Linked DNA regions of Drosophila melanogaster. The protein of the gene in region 2 interacts with the protein of the main gene of each other region in a pairwise test. Each region holds a gene or a part of one and is shown on either strand. Other genes may lie near its edges.

The links. The genes of interacting proteins can lie anywhere in the genome.
Region 1: the proteins of Treh (region 2) and cm interact in a two-hybrid assay, tested with the Drosophila melanogaster proteins (one large-scale study listed by BioGRID).

What each region holds. Positions count from the first base shown.
Region 1 is NC_004354.4:7,008,499-7,013,153, forward strand, and holds cm (carmine), read right to left. Parts: upstream 2,648-4,655; 5' UTR 2,594-2,647; coding exon 2,559-2,593; intron 2,490-2,558; coding exon 2,402-2,489; intron 2,347-2,401; coding exon 2,021-2,346; intron 1,945-2,020; coding exon 1,785-1,944; intron 1,729-1,784; coding exon 1,276-1,728; intron 1,166-1,275; coding exon 980-1,165; 3' UTR 508-979; downstream 1-507. Other genes in the region: sloth1 (sloth 1), read left to right, coding at 3,105-3,258, 3,320-3,405; sloth2 (sloth 2), read left to right, coding at 3,411-3,596; CG3032 (uncharacterized protein), read right to left, coding at 3,790-4,655.
Region 2 is NT_033778.4:21,078,807-21,083,661, reverse strand, and holds the start of Treh (trehalase), read right to left. Parts: upstream 3,055-4,855; 5' UTR 2,791-3,054; intron 1-2,790. UniProt on the Drosophila melanogaster protein: Enzyme that cleaves trehalose to produce 2 glucose molecules that can be used by the glycolytic pathway.

The sequences.
Region 1 (4,655 bases), on a different chromosome or scaffold from region 2:
CCAAACATTTTGTGCCCGTTCAAGAGCTGGCTCTCTCTGTGTGTGTGTGTGTGTGTGTATAACATGTCTAGCCATGGTCGACGTCGCCTTTCGGTGGCGCTTGTTGGCTACCGTTGCACGCCGCGCCCAAAAGCCTAGAAGCTGTTGCTGCTTGCGGCTGCCATGGGTCAAGGGGGGCGGTCCAAGGCATGCATCGGGGGCGTGGCAGGGCAAACCGGTTACCGGTCTCGGCCAGAGGCAAAAATGCAGCTAAGCTTGTAGAAGGAGATAACGAGGCAACACAGTGAAACCTCGTGTGCTTGTTAATTGCATTAAAAAAAAACTGATTCTAATAGGGATTTAACGAAAAACTCATTGAAGAGTCAAATAGAAATTGAATTTGGGTTTCTTCTTAACAAAATGCGTGGGGTATAGTGTAATGTCACAACTCGATAATTTGATCAGTCTTTCACTTTTCAGCACTCTTGCCTAGAAATGTACGTTAGCGAGTCTCTACTTCTTCGCATTGTTCACACACATTGATAAACAAGATGTATACACACTATTCGTATGCTAAATGCGTTGGCCTGGCTGCAAAATCAAGTTTTGCATTTTCATTTGAATTTATTGGTTTCCTCGCTGGCTGTTGCCAGGCGCACTGCGATCGAGTGGAGTGACTTGACTTGGAGTGCAGTGCAGTCGACGGTGCCATTGCCATGCGATGCCATGCCAAGCCACGCCACTCGAAGACTTGCAACTTCATTCCCAATCAATTCTCGCATTCTTACTCTTCGAATATGGCGACGGCGTCCAAGAACAACGACAAGGCGACTACACTTGAAGTTAATATTTTATGGGTAGAGATATAGATACATAAATGAGATACACAGGGAGAGAGACGAGGGCTAGAACATCAAATGAAAAAAAAAAAAACAAGCGGAATACACTTAACGTTAGCTATTAATTAAAGCTGGAATTGGAATCCGGATGATGATTTTGTCTACATCCGCACCTGGAACTTGCCCGCCTTGGTCAGGTATTTGACGCCCTTGAAAGGCTTGTACTTCTCGCCGTACATGTCCAGGCGATTTACCTTTAGCCCAGAGACGGCCAGCTGCGAGATTTGGAACTGGACATTCACGGATGGATTGGCATCGATGTTGGTCGTACCGGGCGTAATGGAAACCTAGGCGTGCAAGGACAGTATATTATTAATGGGATAAAAATATAAATAATTTAAGACGTTAGATACATGAATCGTGTAAAAGTGTAAAGGGTCTCAATAGTTATTCTTACCGATCCCCTAATATTTGGCAACTTGGAAACATCGATCCGTCCCACATCCCAGGACAGCGTCTTGGTCACCGAATCGAAGGTATACTTTCCCTGATTCGGCGTCAATAGGCAATTAAGCACACACCGCGGCATGGTCAGCTCCAGCTTCACCTTGTCAACGGTGCGACCAAGGGTGTTCCTCGGGCCAATCGTGAGGTCCAGACGCCCCTGCTCACCCGTTTTGATCGAAAAGTTGTGCCTGATGTAGATGGGTATGGCCACCACGGACTGAGAGCTAATGTGATATGACATCAGGCGGAAGTTTCCGTCGGGCGGGATAAAGGAGAGCAGGCGCTCCGCCTCCCAGCGCTTGTAGCGCACGCAAGGATGGAAGGAAACGTCGTCGAAGAGGCGAGGATTCATGAAAGATAACGTCAGATCTGGCATGCCGGATAACTTAATGCAGCAGTCGATCTGATAAAAAAATAAAAGAGATAGAAATTATTTTTATAGACTTAAGTGAAACTTACGTGTCCCTGGATCTCGGCAAAGACCGTGGATCCGGATTTATCAATGATAGCGTCCACCTCCTCGATGACATCGAAGTACGCCTCGTTGTTGGTGTACCTCACGCCGCTTCTGCGCCAGCGAACCGCCGACAGCTGACCCGAGGGCAAAGTAGTGCTTACACTTCGGAAATCGGATTATTAATTGGATTATTAAGGTAAATGAAAGACAAAGACGGAGGGAGCATCATTCAACTTACTTGCTCTTGCCCGTCACCGTGTTGGCAATGGTGCGCAGGATATTGGGCGGCTTGATCAGCTCCTTGAGGATGTTGCTCTCGGTGGCCAGTGGGAAGCCATTATCGAGCATCTCGTCCAGCAGCTCGTAAACGACCACATAGTTGTCCTTGATCACGGACTCGGAGCAGTCGCCGAAATAGTCCTGGAAGGTGTCCACCACGCGATGCAGGAACTCGATGACAAAGAGCGGCGGCACCTCCTGCTTGCAGGCGGCGACCAAAGACACCGTGTCCCTTTGCACTGTAATCAGGTAGTAGTGGGGCGTGGCTATCACCGGCGGCACATCCTGCAACAAAGAGATATGGTCAGCATACAACCCATACGTGGCACGGGCGACTCACATATGGAGCAGCGCGCTGGGCGTCAAGGAAGTATTCGCACACAGATCTCGAGACAACCGAGCGCCAATGCTTTTCCAGGAAGACCTCGCTGAAATGCGGATATATGGGTATATGGGTATTACATCGTCTTCACATTTCACTTATAGGTATGGCTTACCCGCCGCTGTTTACAATAAACAGACTGTGTATCATAATTCGACCTAAATTGCTTGCTAGTTTAAGCTATGTTTTTTTTTCAGGGATGAATCATTAGCGATGACAGCGTGAAGGTGTTCTACTACCATGCTCCCGAAGCGCTTCAGTAACTGTTAAATAATTTCATTAAATTGAAATTAAGATAGGCTGAAATAAACGAACATTTATTTAAGGGGCCTTATACATAGTTAACTTATGAATTTATTTACTAACGTTGTGTTGTCATCACATCAGCTCATCACTAGCTCACTCGCTCATCTCTAATCGAACAGCTGATTGCTGCGAACCGGAACAAATGGAAATTGTATCGTGAGGCAAGTGGAGTTTCCCCTTTACTTTTGGCAAATAATAAATAAACAAAGGAACAAGCCTAAACATTTTCAATTAAACCATATACAGAACTAACGCACACATGTGACGGAGGCAATACACAAACACGGCACCTTTGAATCTCGCCTTAAAATTGGCGAAACCAACACGGAATTATATAACCGCCGGCTGAAAACACATGAGTCCGTACAGCGGATCCGTGCGTCGTCTGCTGGACAGTTGGCCAGGAAAGAAGCGCTTCGGTGTCTACCGCTTCCTGCCGCTCTTCTTTTTACTGGGCGCCGGCCTGGAATTCTCCATGATCAATTGGACAGTGGGCGAGACCAATTTCTGTGAGACTGCTACGCTTAAAACCTTACTTTTATTTACTAATACGGAATCTTTTCCATGCAGACCGCACTTTTAAGCGCCGCCAGGCGAAGAACTACGTGGAAGAGCAGCAGCATCTGCAGGCGCGAGCCGCGAATAACACCAACTAAGCAAAATGCCCGCCGGAGTTTCCTGGGGCCAGTACCTGAAATTCCTCGGCTGTGCCCTGGCATCCATGATGGCCGGATCGCAGGCTGTTCACCTTTACTATAAGCCTCTGGAGGACTTGCGCGTCTACATCGAACAGGAGCAACACAGCACACAGGTGGATCCCACCGCAAAGCCACCGGAATCTGCATAACACTGTGTACTAGACAAGTTATTGGTGACTAAAGCTATTTAAGTGAATGCCTGCTGTTTGTTGAGGAAAGGGTTGTTGGCATAGCACCTTCATGTCCTACGAAGAGCGTTACCTGTTCCAGAACATTCAAAAGACGCCACGTTTCCACTTAATCAGTCTATTTTAAAATCTTTTCCACTAAGGCTAGCTAAGACTACTTCTCGTGCACCTTCCGGTGGTTTTTAAGACACGTCTGCTGCCGGAAGGCCTGTCCACAGGTGTCGCAAATGTAGGGCTTCTCACCCGTGTGTATGTACTCATGGTGCCGCAGGGTTTTCCTAGAAGCAAAGCTCTCCGGACAGTGGTGACAGGGAAAGGGTTTCAGCTTTAAGTGGACTGCTCTCACATGGGCTTCGAGCTCGAATCGCCTGGCAAATCTTCTGCCGCAGTGCTCGCAGGGCAACTTGTCGTTCGAGTGCATCAGCATGTGCTGCAGCAGCATGAACTTCTTGGCCATCCGGCGTCCACAGACCTGGCATTCGTGGGGCAACTCTTCCTGCACCTCGTGCTGCTGCAAAGTGTGGTACTTGAGGGTGTATCGTGAATGGAACTCCTTTTGACAAATGTCGCAGAAATGGCGCTCTCCGGCGCCGCCCTCCCTGGCGGCCACCTCGTCCTCCGTGGGATGCTTTGTCTTAAGGTGGTATTTAAGATTCGCCGACTGGTTAAAGCTGGCTCCGCACTGCTCGCAGATGAATTTCTTCAAAGCATCGCGGTCACGCGGACTGTGCTTCAGCCTTTTGTGCTTCTGCATGGCTATGCGGCTGGTGTAGATTCTCTCGCAGCCTGGCTGGTCGCAGGGATGGCGTCGCTCCTTGGGGGCATGCACCTCTCGAATGTGGGTATACAGACCGCCCATGAAACTGTAGGCCTTCTCGCACTGATCGCATTGGAAGGGCCTTTTGCTGCCCTCGTGCACCTTACGGATGTGCGCTGCTAGGGTGATCTGGTGGGCAAAGCTGCGCCGGCACACAGAACACTTCAGGGTGTTCCTTGATCCCCTGAAGGACTTTCGGGGGG
Region 2 (4,855 bases):
CTCCACTTACGATGGCAAGTGTGGAAACTTTTTTTTGGAATTGGAAACTAACCAGTTATCCAGAAATTTAATGAGTATAGCCCGATATCTGAGCGATTTGCATTGCAGTGCGGTTTAATCGCGCTGTACCCGATTTGAGGTCACCGAAGAATGGTGACATTCGCCTGACATTTTATTTATATCCAAACTAATCAAGCTGATACATTTTCAAGTCTATAATTAGAGTGGGTTGTGTGTTAGTGACACGTGTGTCGTCTGGCCCCAAATTCTGGACCGGAATTGCGACGTTTTGCACGAATGCCACTCTGTGGACCGACATAACGAGTCTTCATTGAACTGATTCGCTGAATAAGGATTGCTTTCGAGAGATTAACGAATGTATGGATATACAGATACGTCATATTTGGAAATTTGAGTCGCAAAAAGGGGATTATGTGATGGGATTGGAAAACTTAAGCGCAGCTTGGAGAGCCATTATCGGAAGCCAGTAGAACTCAAACTCGAACGGCTAAGGCCACCATATTGCACACGAAATGTACAAATGTATTTTATGGAACATTAAGTGTATGATGAATTATCGCACTACGATGATATAACCCTATGGGGCATCAGAAAACAAAGGGAACTCAAATAGGCGAAACAATTGTGCAATTTAAATTGAGCCGCACGGTAATGAGAACCACAAAGAGAGAAGTTCATTGTTTCAATCTTTCTGTGACGACAGCAACTAGCAGGTGCAACTAAATCATTGATCTAATACATACGTCACAAGTGGTTAGTATTTATGATTCCATTAGCGAAGTCATATTCGGCATTTGCAAGTTGGGATCATAGACTTATAACACTTACTACACTTCCAGACACACTCCATTGAGTTTTTTGTAGATATTTACTTTCTTGTTCCGCTCGGCGTACTCAACCAATATTTGATTTATGGCTCTTTTCGAAAAACATTTCAGATAACCATGGATGACAAATAGCAGGCGCTACAGCTGGCCCTACGTGTCAGGCATTGGAAAACATTATTGTATTAACAACTTTTCGAATTTTGAATTCCCCCCTACGTGGACTTCCGATTCCGCATTACTCAAAAATCACACAATTCCGTCTTAAATTCCATATAAATCATAAAAATGCAGCCCGATCATGAAGCAACTATTGTTTAAACAACAATTTAAGGTGCGTGAACGAAATCATTAACTTTTCTGAATGCTTATTCGCACTCTCACCATTTAGTTGGGCTATTATGTTTGCCAGTGACTTTATGATTTGTTTATATAGATGTGTATTATAAAATTTCATTGTCGTCATCGATGGCAGTGATAAGTGCCTCGCATGACGTTTTTGTTTGAATACAATAGCCAAAAGTCAGTTAATTCAGATCTTTGAACTGGGCTTGAAAAACAAAACTTTGCCAAAATCATTCAAGGACGATTTTAATCGTTATGTGGGCCATTCAACGCGTTCGTATAATTGCCGATTAATTTAATCACTCAACTAGCCATTATAAAGCACGGTTTGTTGGCTTAGTCGAAAATTCTAACAAATGCCTGATGGGTTTGGAATGACATGTTGAAAAGTCCGCGAGGAAAACGAAGAAACACACAAGACACACAAAAACAGGTAATGTCATTAAGAATTAACTTGCATCAGGTTGAATTAACTTGTTTTAGATACTGTGCGTTTTTGCTTTGATTAGCCGTTCAAATGCCGATCGAAAGGCCTTCGAAAGGTTATTGAATCGTAAAAAGGTTTGCAGTTAGCTGCAAACGAAACGTTCATGCGTGAGGGAAATAATTAGTAATTAAGTTAAACAAATTAAATAAAATGATTTGCAATACAAGGATTCATATTGAGTGGCTTAAGTACTGCGTTTTAATCTTAATTAAATAAAGGGGAAAATTTGACCTAGTAACATTATGAACCACTGGAGCCTTAATCTTCAATCTTCAAGTGGACAATAAAGGTTTATCGATTGCTCATAAAACTGGAAAGCATTGAACTTAATCTCGAAGATAACTCAAATATTCGTTATCATGGGCATTGTTTATTGCATTGATATTGAAAATAGATCTTGAAGTAATCTTCTGATGGAATTTCACTTGAAATACAGCGGCATTCAAGGCTCTTCAGTTTTAAGAATCATTTCACCTCTATATAGTTAAGTGCACTTAACTTGTTTTTGGACAAGTTCAGGGATACTGATAAAAAAAAAAAACTGATTGCCTCGTTGAAGTCAGCAGCTTGAAGTGCACATATAGAAAGAACTTAGAAACTTTCTTAGAAAGAATATAATGAAATTGATATTGATATTGATAAGATTAAATAGGTTTAGCAACAGAAAGTGTACATCTTCCAGTCGGGCTGGATCAGCTACTTTCAGCTATTCACTCGATTCCTAATGAAATTCACAGTTCAAATTAGCTGCAATTCATATTGGAATAAAAAAAAAAGTGGTTTTTGGCAGTGCAAAAACGAGACTTGAAGCGTTGACACTAGACAGCAGTTTATATACTATTCGGTGTGGGATTTCTGTCCGCAAGTCCATTTAAATTCTAAATACCCAGGGACCACAGATCACTGACACCGCAAGTCGCTGATCTGTGGTAAAAATAACGAGAATTCACGTTTTCAACGCGATAAAAAAAGCTCAGGGAAAATATCAGCAGATATGAGGGAAAACGACAGCAACCACAGCAATTTGTATTGAAAATTATAATTTAATTGCTTTTGTATATTCAGCTCGCGTTGTATTTTTCAGTCGAGAGTTACAAACCAAATTACAATTACTTGTAAAGGTACTTTTTCAGTTTCAAATTAATTTGTAGTTTGTTTTCGCATTTCACTCACTTTTATTATTGGCAATTTGCTGAGCTGACTACGAGTTTTTATAACTCGCTCACTATCTGTATTGTTTTGTGCACCAGATTACTATATGTATATAGATGTGAACGCGGACTATATACACTCTCGTTCCTAATCAAAAGCGCTGCTTTATCGCCATAAAGCCCCTGCGATGTTGATCGTTTGAAGGCAACGATCCGACTGCCTCGATCCAAGTGCCGGAGATTTAAATTTAAATAAGATTTTCGCAAAGATCCGCCCGGAACAGAGTTACCAAGTGTTCCCTTTGGGGGAAAGAAGCTGAAGCACAGCTGAAAATTGGCTAAAATCGTGTTTTCTGTTTGCCTTTTTAGTTGAGAACGCAAATAAATAAGATTTATTGATGCGTAAACTCTGTCACATTTGCATTGATTGATTGAGAAAATTATTGGGCAGTAGAGAGAATTATACAATTGGCGAAGCACTAGGGTCTCATTATATTCCAATATGGAAAATTTTGTTCATTTTGCCGTGGTGAAAAGGAAACCGTAAATACTTTAGCCTGATTTTCTAAAGCCTCGCTCTTCTGAAATCTCGAAAATAGGGCGATAAGATAGAATCACCCTGAAATGAATTGACGTGGTATTTAAGACCCTCACTAACTTATGATTGTTGCCAAAAACGATTATAAATAATTTTTGATTTGGAAGAAAGATTATTCATTATTGAGATAGGCAGGAAATTGGCTCTAAAGCAAATAAATACTATGTTATCTAAAACTAGTTTTGTTTAGAAAATTTATTCATATTTAAGGAATTGTAAATTAAAACATTTACAATGAAAGAATTTGTAGTAGTGTAGTCATTACTAATTTATTTTTTTACATACATCACAGCGTATTTTATAATGAATTCAAGTTCGTATGAGTTGGATTGGACTCAATTGCAAAAGAAGATATGTTCTCGTAATTAGAACTTGACGTTGGTTACTACTTGAATGAACGCATTATTATTAAAAGTATGAAGTGAGTATATTTCCCATTTCCGGTCAAATGAGTCCACTTATTCAAAACGTCGTATTATGGAAATGACGTATTATTTAAAATCAATGCAAAGGAATGAGTGTAATATCGAAATTGTTCTTGAAAAGTCTGACTTTTGTGCAGTGTGAGTAGTTTCTGGGGATGAGACAGCATCAGGTGATTCAGAAGGCTCGCCGTCTATCGCTCTATCTGGCTAAAACGAACGTGCCATAGCAGGACGGGCCCTTTATCAGTGTCAGACTATCTCGCCTCACCTGAGCCTTCGGTGACTGATGCACCTCCTAATCGCATACTGATTTAGTTTCTGCGAAGCCCAATGGAGCGCCCGGGAGTGGGAAAATCTGAATAGACACTTGGTGATATGCATGACAAGCTGAGTGTGTACTAAGTTCAGAAATAATGAAATCGTTCAACAGGGGGAGGATCTGTCTCAATTGATGCGATGTCAGTTGGTCTGTTGTTGTCTGGGCTGATAAGAAAAGTGACTGATAATGGATTAATTTGCGATCTAGCTGGGCTAGAGAGCTATAAACGTGACTGCCGTTTCTGCTCAACAGCTGGTTCCAATCTGATCTTAACGAGCTAATCCGTTTCACATTACGTATACGACATGGACACACCGCCAAGCAACGACCAATCGCAAATCAGCTCTGAAACAGAGAAGTGAATCTAACTGAGTTCGTGACAAACAATAAACGGTAACAAATGTCAGTTACATTTGCTTCGCTTATGACTGGTCAGGAGAACGCAAACTGTTAATATTAATAGCTTTTACATTTAAATAATCTAAATCGTTGTGGTTTTTTACGAACATAAATATAAATAATTTCTAGAACTGATTATTATTTATAGGAGTCTCTATAATAGACAAGCCATCACACTGAGTCTGAACTAATTGCAAATGAGTGCAAGTAAATCAGGGCTTAGTTTTTTCCTATTTAACTGGAATTTATTTGTCAAAACAACAAAAATGATTACAGTAACTTAAGT